Ovis aries: one gene and its partners. The protein of the gene in region 1 purifies or fractionates together with the protein of each later gene. This does not show direct contact. Links are inferred from orthologs where the notes say so. Each region holds a gene or a part of one and is shown in the gene's direction. Other genes may lie near its edges. The genes, in order: ING3, MRGBP, ACTL6A and EPC2.

What was found.
Region 2: the proteins of ING3 (region 1) and MRGBP purify together in Homo sapiens (co-immunoprecipitation; 4 studies listed by BioGRID and IntAct, counting the BioPlex papers as one, with this or other methods). This does not show direct contact. The link is inferred for Ovis aries from reciprocal best matches to the Homo sapiens genes ING3 and MRGBP.
Region 3: the proteins of ING3 (region 1) and ACTL6A purify together in Homo sapiens (affinity purification with western blotting; 3 studies listed by BioGRID and IntAct, with this or other methods). This does not show direct contact. The link is inferred for Ovis aries from reciprocal best matches to the Homo sapiens genes ING3 and ACTL6A.
Region 4: the proteins of ING3 (region 1) and EPC2 purify together in Homo sapiens (affinity purification with mass spectrometry; 3 studies listed by BioGRID and IntAct, with this or other methods). This does not show direct contact. The link is inferred for Ovis aries from reciprocal best matches to the Homo sapiens genes ING3 and EPC2.

What each region holds. Positions count from the first base shown.
Region 1 is NC_056057.1:87,086,287-87,090,500, forward strand, and holds part of ING3 (inhibitor of growth protein 3), read left to right. Parts: intron 1-2,147; coding exon 2,148-2,244; intron 2,245-3,700; coding exon 3,701-3,772; intron 3,773-4,214. UniProt on the Homo sapiens protein: Component of the NuA4 histone acetyltransferase (HAT) complex which is involved in transcriptional activation of select genes principally by acetylation of nucleosomal histones H4 and H2A.
Region 2 is NC_056066.1:54,281,207-54,286,058, reverse strand, and holds the start of MRGBP (MRG/MORF4L-binding protein), read left to right. Parts: upstream 1-1,551; 5' UTR 1,552-1,705; coding exon 1,706-1,853; intron 1,854-2,346; coding exon 2,347-2,468; intron 2,469-4,201; coding exon 4,202-4,283; intron 4,284-4,532; coding exon 4,533-4,607; intron 4,608-4,852.
Region 3 is NC_056054.1:208,327,216-208,331,429, reverse strand, and holds part of ACTL6A (actin-like protein 6A), read left to right. Parts: intron 1-2,034; coding exon 2,035-2,135; intron 2,136-2,759; coding exon 2,760-2,857; intron 2,858-4,214.
Region 4 is NC_056055.1:160,773,827-160,778,040, reverse strand, and holds the end of EPC2 (enhancer of polycomb homolog 2), read left to right. Parts: intron 1-425; coding exon 426-585; intron 586-1,535; coding exon 1,536-1,996; 3' UTR 1,997-2,840; coding exon of another isoform or gene 2,841-2,913; 3' UTR 2,914-4,105; downstream 4,106-4,214. UniProt on the Homo sapiens protein: May play a role in transcription or DNA repair.

The sequences.
Region 1 (4,214 bases):
GCATCTAGGAGACTTTATTTTTTGTTTATACCGTTATGTTAAAAATCTTATATAAATCTTGATTTGTCAGTTTAGTGTTAATTCCTGTGAAGGCAGGGATTCTCTCATTCTTCAGGTATTGTCCATTTACCCAGCGCCATGCACACAATAGGAACTCAGTGTTTATTAGTAATATAGGTGTAGGTAAGAAAGGTGGTGGAGTATTTTCATTGCATTAAGTAGACTTGGAATTTAAGCATGAGTAGTTTTTCTGATTTCCCTTGAGATTAAATTTTGACAATGTAAGCGATATTCTTGAATAAGAGGTCTGTGTTCACACTTTATTATTGAAAGGGTGGTTCCATTAAAGGATGCTTGGTTACCTGCAGGTTCTTTGAATAGGAGCATGTGTCTACAATATATGACCCTATTCTGCTACTGCTGCTGCTAAGTCACTTCAGTCGTGTCTGACTCTGTGCGATCCCATAGATGGCAGCCCACCAGGCTCCCCTGTCCCTGGGATTCTCCAGGCAAGAACACTGGAGTGGGTCGCCATTTCCTTCTCCAATGCATGAAAGTGAAAAGTGAAAGTGAAGTCGCTCAGTCGTGTCCAACTCTTAGCAACCCCATGGACTGCAGCCTACCAGGCTTCTCCATCCATGGGATTTTCCAGGCAAGAGTACTGGAGTGGGTTGCCATTGCCTTCTCTGATATGACCCTATAGGATTTTAAATATTGTAATTACAGCTTCTACCAAGCTCTGAAAAATAACACGTGTGTGAAGATGGAAGGAAAATTGGGCTTTGAATTATTGAAAAGTCACAAGCCAGCATCCCAATGATTGCTGTTAATATACAAAATATAAATAATAAGACAATATTTTTATGTTTTTTCAATTTGAATTATATTACTTTCAGTTAAGAAATTGGCTTCTGCATGTGGAAATTCAGAAGGCAATGTTAAGTATAAACAGTGAAGCACAGTTTATTACAAACAGATCAGAGTTAAATCTTGTTTCTGTAATATATTAGCTATTGAATTTGCAGGTGTTGCTTAACCTTTCTGAGTCTAGTTTCTTCACTTATGAAATGGAGACAGTACTATCTCAAAAGGTTTGAGCAAGGACTAGAAAACATAGTCCTTTTAATGCACCAAACACATGTCCTGGCATCTAACACCCACAGATTGTCTTTTGGTACTCTTCTTCCCTAACCCCTCACTTAAGTACACATAATTTCATTGAAAGTCTTACTTAATTTTTTTGCCCTCTAATGTATTGGAGACATTTTTATATTTGTAAGAAAGTTACTCTTAATTATGACAGTGATTAAGAGGGACATTAGAATTTGAAAAAAGGTATTGCTAATAATATGACATGAATATTTTTCAAGACTGTTTTTTGTTTTTTTGATTTGACTTCAAAGCAGTAAATTTGAAAAAGTATCAAGATATTTAATATTAAGCTTAAAAAAATACATGAAAACTTGTTGCTAGTTTGAGGTATTATAAAATTTTCAGAAGAAAATTTTCAGTCCAAAGATCTCTAGGTGAATGAGAATATACAATTTGGCCACCTTAACCAAGTGTGACAGTATTTCAATAAAACCATTTTGACCAAGCTTTTGTGGAATGGAACTTTCTGGCTAAAAACCCCTTTTGTTTCAACTCTTTACATAAATGTTTACAAGTATAATGGTATGCTTTCCTGCCTTAGAGAAATGTATGTGTAAAGTATAGGAGGCTCTTTGTTTGTAGACTGAGGATCTTTCATTCCTTACTGTAAGTAACAGTTATTATGGTCTGGCAGTGTGGATGGTCTTGTTATAAGGAGGAGGAGCTTAGGCTGAAAGTAATCCCAAGGTATATATGAAAAGTTTCCTATGCCACCCACCCCTCATCTTTGCTTATGTTTCATAGCCTACTTCCTCCAAACATTCTCTGACAAATTGCAATTCTGGTTTCTTAAAATGTATTCAAGGAGGCTTGGGAGGTATTTAGCCTAGCAACCTCATTTTATAGAATAAAAACCTGTAGTGTAGGTTAATTGACTTGCTCAAGGATCCAGAGCAGATGCACTAAAAGAAGTAAAGATTTAGGCTTCCTCATTAAACCGACACTTTGATAGTGTCCCAAATTGTGGTGGTTATCTTTGATCTTCTTTGAAACAGGTAGATCGACACTTGAGAAAGCTGGATCAGGAACTGGCTAAATTTAAAATGGAGCTGGAAGCTGATAATGCTGGGATTACAGAGATATTAGAGAGGCGTAAGTAAAATTTACACTTTTCCATCACCATTGGACAATACATGTGCACATCACTGAGGAGACACTGGTTCCACAGAGACTTCTCAGATCCTGGTCCTTGGTGGACAGAGGCACCTGGTGGGATCACTTGGTCCCTAGCAGTTGGACTGTTTGGACTTGATCTCCTGCTATAATTTACTCTTATCATTCCTAGGGTTTAACTCAGGAGATTTCCCCAAAATGGAGACATGAGCTCTGTTTCTTGAACAAATTTAGCTCTTCAGCCTAAATAGACAGAGTCCATAAAAACAGATGGTACCATGGTAAGCCCTGAGTAGGCATTCAGTAAATGTTAGTTGAATCAAGTCAGTATTATGGCCGATTTCTAGTATAATTTAACTAAAGGTTCAGGCATCTCTTTTCTTGGTGCATATCAGTAGCAAGAACATATACCTGGTTCTACACATGGATGAAAGGTTTCTTTACAGTGTTAGGTTACATATATCTCTATTCATATACTCTCTACAGGTCAGCTAGGGCAGCAACCACACATGAATCCATCTTGGTACAATAGTTGCATTTTTGTGTTCCCAAATAGGTCCATCACTTTAGATGATTATCTAATTTATTTGTGATACTTTCATTTCAGGGGAATCCTATCTGAGGATGATAAGTATCTTGAGACAAAATAAAATGTTTTATTTTCTTGAAATGCTGATAATAGCTGTGAGTAGCAGTAAATCCATGCCTATTCAGTACCTCAGGGAGGTTAATGAAGCATCCTCTGTAAGGACACAAACATATCAAAGTCATCAGATCAAGTTATGAAAACTGCTCCACCCTGTGCCCTGCCATAATTTCATCTCAAGGGACCAAGATAAACTGAGGACATTTCTTTAAAAGTATATTAAAGTTTAGAGGTAGAGATTCTATGCATCACATTTCACAAGCAAAATCCCTAACTTCTTTTAGAAGTCTTTACATTCATATATCATTTTAATGATCAAAGAATTTTTTTTCCTATAGTAATGTCCCATCGCCTGATACTTCAGTATCTCCCATTAAAAGGTCTTCAACTCAGTTAACTCTAGGTTGAGTTTTTTAGGTCTCATCAGTAATGAAATTATAACATCCATTTGTCCACTTATGTGGTACCAAATGTGGTGAATTCCTCAGCCAGACATTAGCATGCCTTGACCCATTTTGTACTTAAAGGTGAATATTAAAAAATGGGTTACTTACTGTTTAGAAAGAGGATGAGATTGGCGCAGGGTAAAATCAGCAGTGATGACCCTCTAATGTGTTTGACTAAAATGGTACAGGCATAGACATCAGAGCTTGCTGGTCCTCTGCTGGTTAAGGGTCCACAGTCCTGTAGTTGATTGGTGTGTAAAGTTCTGTGGTGACATCTCATGGCAATGTATGTCTGTGCTTCTCTCTCTCTCTCTCTCTCTCTCTTTTTTTTTTTTTTTTTAAGGATCTCTGGAATTAGACACTCCTTCACAGCCAGTGAACAATCACCATGCTCACTCACATACTCCAGTGGAGAGTAAGTATGATTTAGGAGAGCTAAAATCTTAAAAACAATGAAAAATTCATTGTATCATCTGTATATTCTCTTTCATTAGCTCTGCACAACTGATTGAGAAACAGATACCCTCCCCTTTCTTTTATCTTGTGAGATACAGTTTTTCATTGCAACTACTGGCAGATTTATCTTCTTCATTTGGGAAGAGCATATTTGATTTGGGAACAGGTAGTCTGTTTTGCATGGCATTCTCAAAGGAAGAATGTGTGGTACTAACAGCAGTGTATACTCTCTAGATACAAATAACCTGATTCTCTCTAGGGAGTGTTCTTTTTCATCCTTTCTCAAGTGCTTAGCCTACTGTTGGCATATAATAAAGTCTCAAATGGTTGAGTTAGTGAGTAAATGAGTGGTTTAGTCAGATGCTAGCTGACTAAATTGACTGTATTGATGCCTTTTTTTT
Region 2 (4,852 bases), on another chromosome or scaffold:
CTGGTGAAGCAGACAAATGGGCAGTACCCAGGAGGCTTCATGTAAGAAAGATGTGGAGAAGGCAGTTTCCTTTTGCCCAGATCATCCAACCTGTCTTTCTGCATCGAGTCTGACTGAAGATACACATTCTAGGATCTGCCTGGAATGAAAGGAACCGGGTGTCTGTGGACCACAGCTGCTGGCTGAACACAGCTCAGCTACAGTGGCCACCAGAGAGAACGAAAACACAGCCCAGCACCCAGGTGACCCCAGGCAGGAGGAAGAGATTGCATGAGAGGCACAGATGGGCTGAGGCTGTCTTGTGGGCATCAGGGGTAGCTTCCTAGAGGAGGAGGCTCTCCAGATTGAAGAAGGCAGGAATTGGGTGGGGATAGAATGAGCAGAAGGTGGACCTGGTGGAGGAGCAGGGACCCTGAAGTGTCTGGGAAGTGTAGGGAGATTAATGATGAGGGCCACTGTCTGTTAGTGCTTTCTGTGTGACAGAGCCCGAGTGAAGTGGCTTTGGGCTGTGCTCCATTCCACCTCACAGCAAGCCCTGAGGGGAGCCCCACTTGTGGGTCAGAGAGAGGAAAGAAGCACAGGCCCAGCAAAGTCACAATGTCCCTCCACATCGTGGCTCCAGGACAGCCGGTGGCACTGGGTCACTGAAATCCTCCCTGGGCCACATGTCCCCACTCTGTGGGGACTGGCATCACCAGCAGCGCTCTTCACACAAGGGAGGACAAGACTGAGTCCCCACTGTTCCGGGGGTGAGGCTGGCCAGAGCGGTTCCGAATGCCGGCTAAGAAGCGCGAGCGTGTGCCCAGGGCACCCCAGGATAAGGCGCCGCCGTTAGTTGCACTGCAAGGAGGACACCTGCGGCCTGGAGAGGCTCAGCGTTTTGCCTGGCTCACACGGCTGGCAAGCCGCAGAGCCAGAAAGGGACCCGGAAGGCCGACCCTATGTCTACACCCAGGGGGAGACGAAGAGCAAGAGCGCTCCTCGCCTTGGGTAACCGCCCGGAGCACCGCGTGGGCGTGGCCTGACGGAGAAGGGCCGGGGAGAAGCCCTCGGGGGCGGGGATGGGGCGGGGCGGGGCGGGGAGGAGCCGGCGGTCTTGATTGGGCGCAGCTTTGAGCTTGTCACCTGACTGCCCAGGCCGGCCGCCCCATTGGCCCCGCCCCTCCCGACCAGGGTTAACCCCCAGGGCCCAATGCTGGTCACCCTGGAGGCCCCAGGCGGGAAGGCTGTACCCCGACGTCCCTGCCCCGGTGTGCAGGAGCCTCTCTGTGCAGCGCTCAGGCCAAGGGTCAGCTGGAGGCAGTGGAAGCCCTTGGAGCCCCCACTCGCAGGAACTGTAGGTCGCCTGTTCTTTTTCTTCTTTGCTTCTTACTGAGGTGCAGCTTGCAATCCCGCCATCGTAAGCGCAGAGTTCAGCGGGGTTTACCCCGAGCTGTGCAGCTACGGGCACAATCTAATTTAGGGCATTTCCATCCATCTACGCAAACCCACTCCTTCGCCTGATCCGCCTGCTCTGCCGGCGCTGCGCCGCGAGACCGTGCCGCCTGGGGGCGCGGCGACCCAGCGCTCAGCTGCGCCTGCGCCTGCGCCGCGGGAGAGTCCGAGAGCGAGCCCGTCGAGCGCGCGCCCACGCCGCGAGTGCGCCTGCGCGGAGCTCGTGGCCGTGCCCGCTCCCGCCCGGGGCTCGTCGCTGGGCGGCGGGGCCATGGGGGAGGCCGAGGTGGGCGGCGGCGGCGCGGCCGGCGACAAGGGCCCTGGGGAGGCTGCCACCAGCCCGGCCGAGGAGACGGTGGTGTGGAGCCCCGAGGTGGAGGTGTGCCTCTTCCACGCCATGCTGGGCCACAAGCCCGTCGGTGAGCAGAGCGCCGCGCCGGGGCGGCCCACCCGCGTGGGGGCGGGGCGGCCGGCAACGGTCGGGGACGCGCGCTGGGCGGGGCCTCCTGCGCTTGCACCCCGCCGACCGTGCCCTCACCTGCGCACCCTGCCCCCACCTGCGCACCCCATCCATGCTTCCTCCAGCAGTCCCCCACTCCTGCCCACGCTGCCCCCTTCTATACCCTACCCCCACCCGACTCTGCCCCCTTCCTGTGCCCAGCCACCCATCCCGGCTGACTCCAGCCCTCACGTGCACCCCCACCCCTGTGCCCTCGTTACACCTCCGCTGCACACCCCTGCCTTTTCCTCTCCCACCTCTCTCCGCTGCACCTCCTACCTCTTCCACCCTCCACCTTTGCCTCCCTACACCCTTGCAACCACTGCCCGCTCTCTCCCCCTTGCCCCCTACCTCTTCGCTACCCTACCAGCTGGCCTACCCCTCCCCCACAAGCCGACCCCTTCCTTCTGCAGGGGTGAACCGGCACTTCCACATGATCTGTATCCGAGACAAGTTCAGCCAGAACATCGGTCGGCAGGTCCCATCCAAGGTCATCTGGGACCACCTGAGCACCATGTATGACATGCAGGCACTGGTGAGCTGGACCCCCGCAGACAGAGCTGCTGGCAGGGAGCCCCCTCCACACCGCCTACCCTGCCTTTGTCCCCACCCCCCCCACCCCCCACCACCAACCACGTCCTACCTTGACATCCAGGATGTCCCACAGGTGACCAGTTGTTAAACAAGATAGCTCTGGGTAGTTTTATGAAAACACAAGCTTGGTGACAGTAGCTAGTTATTGCACTGAATCTACCTTAGATTTTGGGGGGGAGTCGAGGTTCAGTTAAGATCTTTCCAGGAGATAACTAGGGAGCTGAGGCCTGTGTGGGAGGGGGCTCTTAGGTTGTCAGTCCTGTGGAAAACTCCCGAGTGCTATAAGCAGGGAGGTGACCGGGTCTGAGTCACATTGAGATGAACATGGTGGTTTCTGTGAGAACTAGGCCAACCCTCAGGGAAGACCACCCTCAGGGAACCCCCAGATGCTGGGTCTGAGGGAGAGCAGGTCAACTTGGTAACCAGGACAGCAGAAAAGACAGGTGGGTGTTCCCTGCAGAGGAACAGCAGGAGTCAGGGCCCTGTGGCAGCAGGCGTCAGGACTCGGGGCTGCACCCGCACCCCACCCTGTGCCCCTCCCTCCTCCCTCCCTCCCACCCTGAGCTTCTAAGTGAAGCTCAGACCCTCTTGTGTCCTTAACCCTCACCACCACAAGTTCCCTGTTGGCCTTGGGAAAGTCGTTTGCATCTCCTTGTCCCAAGGCAGAGAAGGAAGAGAAATGACAGTACTGCTCTGACCCCGAGCCTGCAGTTAGCACCCAGGAACTCGAGGTCAAGCTGTTGAACTGAAGCAGGCCGCCCGAAGGGCTGTGCCCACCCGTTGGGGCACCACTCCCCCAGAATTCCAGTGTTCAGCAGCTTGGCAGGACCCCCCATGCTTGTCATGTTGGGGTGTCACCTGGCCCCCAGACGCTTCCTGCATCTCCACTCCAGGCTGGGGCCCAAAGCTGGACACAGAGACAAGTATGGGAGGGCCCCTGTCCTGAGGGGCCTTTGGTGCGGTAGACAGGACAGATGGCTCTCAAGTGCAGACGCTGGCTCAGAGGGTGCTGAGGCAGTGATGCCCCGTACAGGGTACGGTGATACTCTGCTGTGGGGGCCACCAGGGAGGCTCTCAGTCCAGGACAGGTGGCCCTTCCTTCCTCAGTTCCTTGGACCCCAGCACCGCTATAGAGCTGATGCCATGGTCACCTGGGACCTTGTAAATATGGGTCTGTGGATCTCACCCCACAGGATGACCGTGGGCCCAGGAGCTCTCGGGGTTTGTGAAGCTCCCAGCTGGCAGGTGGCACACTTACTCACTGACCACCTGGCTTGCAGCTCAGCTCCCAAGTTGGGGACTAGAAGCCCTGTCTCCTGAATCCCCTCCCAACCCAGAGACCCTTCCCACCAGCTCACCTTTCCCTTTGTCTGGTGGTGGTGTTTCTGGCTCTCTGTCCCTCCAGGCCTACGTGATCTGGGGAACAAGTGGAGCCTGGCGAGCATTCCTGGTGGCTCCTCCATTTTGCTTTGTTTGCCTGGTTTCCACGAGAGAGAACAAAGGCCTCAGGCCCCACGCCTGCCCACTGCAGCCCCTCGGGACAGCCATCTGTGCTCATTGGTCACTCCTGAGTTGGCTCTTACATCTCTAGTCACATTTTCTTTTAAATGTGATATTTAAAATCATATTTTCTTCTTTGCTTCTAAAAAAAAAAACACCCTTGTTTGTCATCAGCACGAGTCTGAGATTCTTCCGTTCCCAAATCCAGAGAGGAACTTCATCCTTCCAGAAGAAATCATTCAAGAAGTCCGAGAAGGTATGACTCGGGCAAGGGCAGATTTGGGAATGGGAAAAGGTGTCAGGGTGAAGGTCACGAGCCTCAGAGAGTGAGGGTCAGTAGTTGGGTGGTGCTCACCCTCCAGGATGGGGTGGTCTGGGGGCCTCCAGGACAGGGGCAGACACCTCCCAAGTCGTCAGCAGCCCTTGGCCTGAGCCACTGTGGTCAGACAGGGCCACGGCACTCAGCATTGCGGGCTCCAGGTCATCATTGGTCATCTCCCCACAGGAAAAGTAATCATCGAGGAGGAAATGAAAGAGGAAATGAAAGAAGATGTGGACCCCCACAACGGGGCTGATGATGGTAAGTGTGGAGCTTGCCCTCCCACCCTGGGGCCCCAGGGGCATGGACCCTAGCCCAGCGAGGCCTCCCCATCACTAGCAATGGGGTCATTCGTCTGTCTCAGCAGCTGAGAAGGCAGCTTCCATCTGCTCGGAGAGAGCCTCTCACACAGGGGAGTCACTCTCGGAGCCAACCCTGGGGGGTGGGGGTGCAGGAGGCTCCCTGACTAAAGTAGAATGGGTGGCAGCCTTCTCAGTGCAGGGTGA
Region 3 (4,214 bases), on another chromosome or scaffold:
TGGGTACACACAGTGTGCTATATCCATAAAAGGAAGTATTAATACTACTTGACAATAAAAGAAACAAAATAACTGATACAAGTCAAAATACCAGTTGGGTTTTGATGAACCCCAAAGCCTTATGCCAAATGGAGGAAATCAGATGCAAAATTCCACATAATGTGGAATCACTTACTCTAATATGGAATGACCAGGAAAAGCTAATTTATACAGACAGAAAGTAAAGTAGCAGTTGCTTGGGGCTGTGGATATTATGAGAAGTGACTGTTAAAGGGCATACAGTTTCTTTTTGAGGTGATGGAACTATTCTAAAATTATGTTGTAATAAGAGTCACACAACTGTGTAGCTTTACAGAAGAAAATCTCTTCATTGTACACATAAAATTCATGTTATGGAAAATTATATCTCTATAGAACTGCTAAAGAACTGGAAGAATATTTTTTGTTACAAATATTTTATTTCTTATATTATCCTGATACTTGGAATAAATAACTATCTTTTGGATTCAGAAAAAAAAGGACTCAGTACCCATGGTTTTTATTGGTGACTGGTCATGTAGGTACCTTGTGCCCAACATGTTCCAAAACCCCAGACTCCCAGTTTAAACCACACTGTTTGTATAAATGGTTTAGGCACAGTGAACTACTCTTATTTGGGGAAAGTTTTATATCAATGTAGGAAACTGTTTACCAGACAAGTTCCCAGATGCCAGCCAAGGGTCAGCCTTGCAAGCAGGCCTTTCTCAGGTTTGCTGAGTTAACTCTTTCTGCATAGCAAGAGTTTATTAGTTCAAAGTGTTTGAGTATAGATGCTGGTTTAATAAGCAAGTAAGAGTGATTTTAAGACATGGAATTGATTTTTTTTTTTTCCACCCAGAAAGAGTTTGGGAGGTGAAAACAGGATTGAGGGTGAGATTCCTTATGGAAAGTTACTCCGTATTTAACCAGTAGAGGTGCCTATGAAGGGGAATGAGATGAACAGTTAGAGAAGTAGGAGAAAATTCAGGAGAAAACCAAGAAAAGAAAAAACTCGAGAAGAAGTCCAGTGAGTCTCATGTTCTTAACTGTGGCATTGAGATTTATGCTAAGAAGGGGAAAGAGAAGTTAAAGCTATAGAGGAAGTGCCTTGACCAAAATATCCCATTCTGGACTTTCACTGGTCCGCCTGCCAATGCAGGGGACGTGGGTTCAATCCCTGGTCCAGGAAGATGGCACAGGCTGGAGGGCAACTAAGCTCACGTGAAGCAGCTGCTGGAGCCCGTGCACCCTGGAGCGTGCGCTCTGCAGCCGGAGAAACCACGACAGTGAGAAGCCTGAGCACTGCAACTAGAGAGCAGCCCCTGGGGAGCAACGAAGGCCTAGCAGCCCCCAGAAAACAGAGCAGTGAGTTAAACCCATCCTGATAGGCCTATAACAATACTAACATGGTGTACAGATGATGCCATTCTTTGTTGGTCTGTGGCAGAAGAAGTTTGTGAACTCTTGAATCAATGGTGTCAGTAATTTAGAGAGGTTAGGTGAGATTGCAGACGCAAAGGATCCACTGGGCTTACCTGTTGGACGTTCGTTAGTGACTTACGCAAGCAGTCAGTGTAATGTTTTAATGGAAAGCAAATTGAAAACATATTCTTCTTTAAATTTTTTATAATGTTTTTATGTCTTTTTTTCATACAGATTGTTGCTGTTAGCTCCAAATCATGCAATTCTGTTTCCTCTTACAATTTGAATTGTGCTTTGGGCTTTATAGTTAGTACTTAACCGAATACTATTTATTTGGTATTTTAGGTGTGTTAGATACCTTAATTTTATCTGGGTCAGGTCTAGGGGTTACGGTACTGTTGGGGCTGGAGGAGCCATATCTAGAAGACAAAGCTAATGTCTATATGAAGTACTGTTTTATGAGGTAGAGCTGTAAAATAAGTCAGTTCTGTATATTAAAGTATCAGTGCTAAACCATTAGAAACAGTCTCTCAGAAGATGCTGTATTCATCTCCAACTAAGTATTGTTTTCAAGGTATTTATCTTATATTCTAGTTGAAGATTGGGATAGTTTCCAGGCTATTTTGGATCATACCTACAAAATGCATGTCAAATCAGAAGCCAGCCTGCATCCTGTTCTCATGTCAGAAGCACCAGTAAGACAAACTTTTTCAAGTTTTCTAGGTTGTTTTTTTACTCATTTTACTTTTTTTCTTTAAAGAGATATAGAAATTCATATTTTGAAAATGAGGGAAAGGGGGATTCTTTTTTAAATACTCTTACAACTTTTATTATTTCAATAATAAAAATACTCAAAGAACAACAGTAAAGCACCCAGTGGGTTCTGGCAGTTATTTATCTATTTTTTTCCAGGAATTTAATATCTAATTTCCTTTGACTGCTTCCCATTTTGGTTCATGAATTGTCCCTTATCGCTCAAGGGCAGTGTATATCTGCTTTTTTACTCAATCTTAGGAGTGACTAGATTCATTCTTAAGATTTAATACTTCATGTTTATAAGAATCCTGATTACTCTATACTTTGAAAAGTCTGTAGTTTCTAGAATTCATAGCAGCAATTTTACTTTTCAGATAATAAACTTTATTAAATTTATTACAAATACATAGAGATAAATGTTGTAAAGATATTATGAAGATTTTCCATGGTAACTTAATGTTTTACATTTTTGTTAATACAGTACTGAAATGAATTTTGAGATAAATCAGCATTTTAGTTTTTAAACAATAAGTAATTTGCATTTCTTTTTCCCTACTCTCAAGTGGAATACCAGAGCAAAGAGAGAGAAACTGACAGAGCTGATGTTTGAACACTACAACATTCCTGCATTCTTCCTTTGCAAAACTGCCGTTTTGACAGCGTATCCTTGAAAGAGTAATACTCAGCTTCTCTTCATGAGTGACTGTGGTTCTGCTAAAGGTGATGTGCTCAGCAGGAAGACAGGAGTCAGTTCTTGCTTGTCAGAAGTTGAGGGAGTTTTCCCCATTGCTTTTTGGATACCTTTCTTTCAGTATTTCTTACTGGAACTGATGTGCATGAAAGTGTGAGACGGAGATGGGAAATAAACACTCAAATTCTGCTCATTAATTTAACAAAGTTTTTTAAAAATTGTGTTTTTAGAAGGGGAATGTGAAGAGAAGGCCTAGATGAGTTCAAAGAGTGTCATTTCCTTCCTCCTCTCCAATGCCTGAGAAAAGTGGAAGTTGTCTATAAATTCATTTAAGATTTAATCACCAAGTATTTTTTATGAGCATATTAAGGAACAGACAAGGAAATACTATGTCCTGACCTCAAAGAATAATGTAATATTCTTGTTGAAAACTAAATAACATTTAAATAGTACTTCAAAATAGCACTGGCAAAAGTCATAAAGAAGTACATGATTCATCTGAAATTTTCAAATAGCAATTATAGTTCAGTGGAGGAAGATTGAAGCCTGACAAACCTTGTAAAGAAAAGAGAATTTTGAGACTTCCCTGGCAGTCAGTGGTTAAAGACTTCGCACTTCCAGTGCAGGGGACATGAGTTCAATCCTTGATTGGGGAACTAACATCCCGCACGCCATGTAGTGCGCCCGCCACCCCCCTCCCCCCCAAAAAGTGAGGGAATTTAGTTGCAAGGTGAAGGGAAAGGAGTCCTATATTTAGAGTTCAAGTAACAGTGCTGATAAACTGATCTTGATTTAGGTACTTAAAATCAGCCTCACCTTTTATACATTTATCCTGTGTACCTCCCTGGATTGCTATAATATTCAAGTGAATTTTACATGTGTGAGAATCACTGTGGTAGCTGTAATCTAGCATTTGTCTGTCGTGCTGTGTCTTGGAGATGACTTTAGCAAAAGTGTGGAGGTGGAAAGGGTAAGCATTCCTCACAGTGAGTTTAGAGTTGAAGATTTATATTCAGCTTTAGTGAGAGTTGTAAAAATAGGTTTAGGTCAGACCGTGGAAGCCTTGCATGTTGTATTTTAAAAATGTGAACTTTAGACTTGAGAGAACCATTGCAGGTTTTGAGTAGAGGATAGAGAGCACTAGCAAACTCTCTGTGTGCATTATCTCATTTAATTTTCATAATAACCCTGTCAGGAGTCGGAATCAAAATAAGCAAACTGGTCCCAGTCTACAGCTTGAAAATGGCAGTTATGAATTTGAACATAAGATCTGTTTGGCTGCTTCCTTGCAAGGAGTATGTAAATGGAATTGGCATTGTTTTATTTT
Region 4 (4,214 bases), on another chromosome or scaffold:
GAAGAAAGGTATAATTCACAAAGAAGATAGACATCATAAACCATTAGACACTTTAGCAACAAAGAAACAAAAATATATAAAGCAAATATCGGAAGAGATATAAGGGAAAAAATATATAATCATAATGAGACATAGTAACGATTGTCAAGTATTTTTAAAGGCATTAACACTTGGAAAAATGAATAGGGCATAAAGATTTGGATTGTTTATTGCCCTAGCTCTTTCTCATAAATAGTTGCTTCTCAGTTTAGTAACTTTCTTATTTCACAGATGAAAATAGTCTATGAAGTCCTAGATCTCTTAACATAAAAACTTTTAACTATTCAGAATGAAAAAGGCAACAGCCTCTTGGGTTATCTCACTTTTTTAAGTGTTTGTGAACTCACATCTGAAAAGTTGAGAGTTTAACTTTGTTCATTTTATAGGGCTCAAGCACCTCTGACTGTATGTCTAAAACACTTGACTCAGCCAGCGCCCATTTTGCTGCATCTGCAGTGGTCAGTGCACCTGTTCCAAGTCGCAGTGAGGTAGCCAAGGAACAGAACACTGGCCACAGCAACATAAACGGTGTTGTCCAGCCTTCAGGTAAGCCTGTCGTTTCAAGTGATACTTACTAGTTCAAAGTTGCAACTCAGTGATTTGAGATTTGGTTTTTTATTTATTTATTTATTTTTGGCGGGGGGGGGGGGGGGGGGGGGTTGATTTTTAAATCCAGAGGGGAAACATTGTACAAGAAGTCAGTTAGGACTCCATAATTTCTATGGCTCTGTGTGGTGGAATAGCTTGATGTTTCTAAAAGTCACATCAAGCCTGCTCCCTGGGTCCTCCCATGCCCAGTTGATACCTACCTGTGTAACAGTCCACCCTGCCTAGTTTTATCTACATACTATCATTTGCCTCACATCTTACCAGTCACATCAAGCCAATTGCTAACCATCATTGTTGAATCATTTGTACATTCTTAAAGAGGAGAATTATATTAATAGTCCAGATGATCTGTCAGAAGTTGGAAATTGGATTTACCTTCCCAGTCTTACACACTCACAGCCCTGCTTTCTGTGACTCCTTGTGAAGTACAGTATTGCTGTGAAACTATTTCTGCGTCAAACTACCGAGAGTACTTTGTTCTTCCTATCAGCCTTTAACTTCTGCTCAGACCCTAGGATTTTCCACTTGCTATTCCATATACCTATGATTGTGATTGCCCTTCCTTACTGATGTTCTTCCTTGTGCAAATTCTAATGGAAGTCCAATTTTCATCTCCACCTGCCCTCAGTCTCCAAGAAGACCTCTCTGTCCTGTTACACAGTTTCCATATATGAAGGCAGCAGAATACTTTGCAAAACTGTTTTATGCAGGCTAGCAGAAAGAGGGTATCTTTGGGGTTGTACAGGTGAATATGTTGTGGTTATTGATTAGAAACTCTCTTCAGAGATTTAATTAGATTACAAATGTTTGCATTTTAAACTCCTAATTTTTTAAAGAGTTTAATTAATGTCTCATGAGTTGAACAGTTTTTTTTCCTTCTCCTTCAGGAACCTCTAAAACATTATACTCCACCAATATGGCTTTATCATCCAGCCCAGGGATTTCAGCTGTACAGCTTGTAAGGACAGTTGGCCACACCACTACAAACCACTTAATCCCAGCATTGTGCACAAGCAGTCCTCAAACACTTCCCATGAACAATTCCTGCCTGACAAATGCAGTGCACCTCAATAACGTCAGTGTTGTTTCTCCAGTCAATGTGCATATCAATACACGGACTTCAGCACCATCGCCAACAGCCTTAAAACTCGCCACAGTTGCTGCCAGTATGGACAGAGTGCCAAAGGTTACTCCTAGCAGTGCCATCAGCAGCATAGCCAGGTGTGTGTGTGTGTGTGTGTATTTCAAGTATCATTCTGTCTCTTTCTGCTGGCTCAGATCCTGTGGGAGGAGAAGACTTTTCCTTTTTTTCTTTTACTGCTCAAACCATAGATATCTTGTCAGCTGATTGACTTGCTTTTCAACAGATATTGAATATCTGCTTAGTCTAAAGCTGTATGACTTAGATCTTTAAGGTCCCTAGTAGAATGTTTAAATGCCAATCAGAACTGTTACTTTAAAAAAGGGGGGAGGATAGTCCACATCAACTTGGGAACCATCAAACTGAAAAAATACATCAGCTTTAGTTATTCTTATATTTCTTCTTTGTAGTTTAGGCAGTCTGGCAGGCTAGAGTTATTGTTAGCCTTCAGAGCTTTAGTTTTCAAATCAAATTTGTATTTTTTTAACATTACACCCAAAGGGAAAGTAAATTATTTTGTGTATGTTTTAGAACTGAGAATATCCTGGAATTAACTAAATCTATGATAATGTATTTCAGATTGCTTTTTTCTTTCTGTGACACTAATGCATGCGAACAGTGAATCAAAAAAATTGATCTGCATAGATTAATAACTACATGACCATAAGCTGTAAAATTAAACTGTAGTGGAAAGTAATTTAAGTAATGTTGTGCTTCCAGTTATTATTATGTATGAGCATCATCTGCTCTGTCTATTGTAAAAAGCTTGAATTGTCCTATATTATATGTTTGATAAGTAATTTATCATTGACTGCTACTGAAATACTGTTAAGTTGCTCTTTTTCCTAAGTAAATAATTATAATCAAGTTCATAGGATTTCTTAACTGAAGAAAACTTTTCCTTATTCCTGTATGGAAACTGTAAAAATGGGAGATGTTCTTGTGCAGTATGTTTAATTGTAATTATATAAAACACATCTGTAAATACTAAATGATAAACATCATATTCTAGAGAGTATTAATGTTTATTTTACTCTTTGCCTTATTATAGAGAGAACCATGAACCAGAAAGATTGGGTTTAAATGGAATAGCAGAGACAACAGTAGCTATGGAAGTGACATAACCTAAAACATGTGGCTTTGACCTGTGCTGATGGTGTGCAGTCATTCATATTCCAGCTGAATGCAAAAGGCGAAACTCTGTGGATCACAGAGGATAACAATGGACCTAAATGGACTATAGTATATCGGATGTTGAATCGATATATGATGTATATTTTGTAAAATTGGGAAAATCACTACCTTGTAAAATAGTTTATTTGTATCATCAATATTATTTCTGTTACTTGAATAGTAGATATTCATCATCATGCTTTTGCACTTGAATTTGCAACTGAATGGATTTTAAAAAATAATTCTTTAATGGGATCATGAGCATGAAATGGGATCCTGCATCACTTGTTTTAACTATTTATTTTGCCATGTTTACATTTTGTATCTTGTAAAAATAAATCCAACTTTGTGTCTAAAAAGTTAAAGATTCATAGCTAGGAAATGAAATTCTTGTAATTTTTTTCTAAAGGAACTGTAAAGTTTTCACTTGGTTCATTTTGTTTCACAATTTGACTAGATGGACTTTTTGGTAAATACTTTAGTGGCATTTCACTGTCAAATATGAAGTTCAAGGCAAAATAGTATTTTCTATTACTGTGCAGGGGAAAGGGATGGATCGATACATGCAAATTTAATGTAGTGACTCACTTTTCCATATATTTTGAATGTATATTTCTATTTATAATACCAGTTTATAAAAAATGATTACACAGAAAAAAAGGACTAGGAAAAATTATGCATCTAGTACATTTAAACTGTGCAGGTATGAAAAATTTTCAAGGATTACATTTTATCTGAAGACTGCATATTTTAACTGGCTTTAAAACTGTAACACACCACATAAAGGATATTTTACCAGGTATGTATTGCATTATATCATTGCAATAATTATTGGAAGTGTAGATATCGAGCCATCCCAGGTGTTGGGAGGGGGGAGGGTTGTGGCAAGATTGTCTTTTCAATTTTGGAGAGATTTCCTGTGGCTACAAGGCAAGTAACGGGTTGGAAAAAGTCTGACTGTAAGCGTTGGACACCTTCATAGTGTAGTGTTTTAGTGACTTTTTTTATACGGTTCTTGTATATTAGATACGTGTAGTGGTGTTTCAGAATGTTTGTTTATGCACTAGTTCAGACAACTTTCCCTGTTACTTGTTCTTGATAAGTGAAAACTGCAGGGAAATAAAAATACATATCAAACATGGACATGCTGCATATGTGTTTATTTCACAATGTGCACACAGTATAAGTGAAAATTTAAGGGAGATGATAGCACTTAACAGCACTTTTCATTTTCACAGTGCTTTCCAAGCAT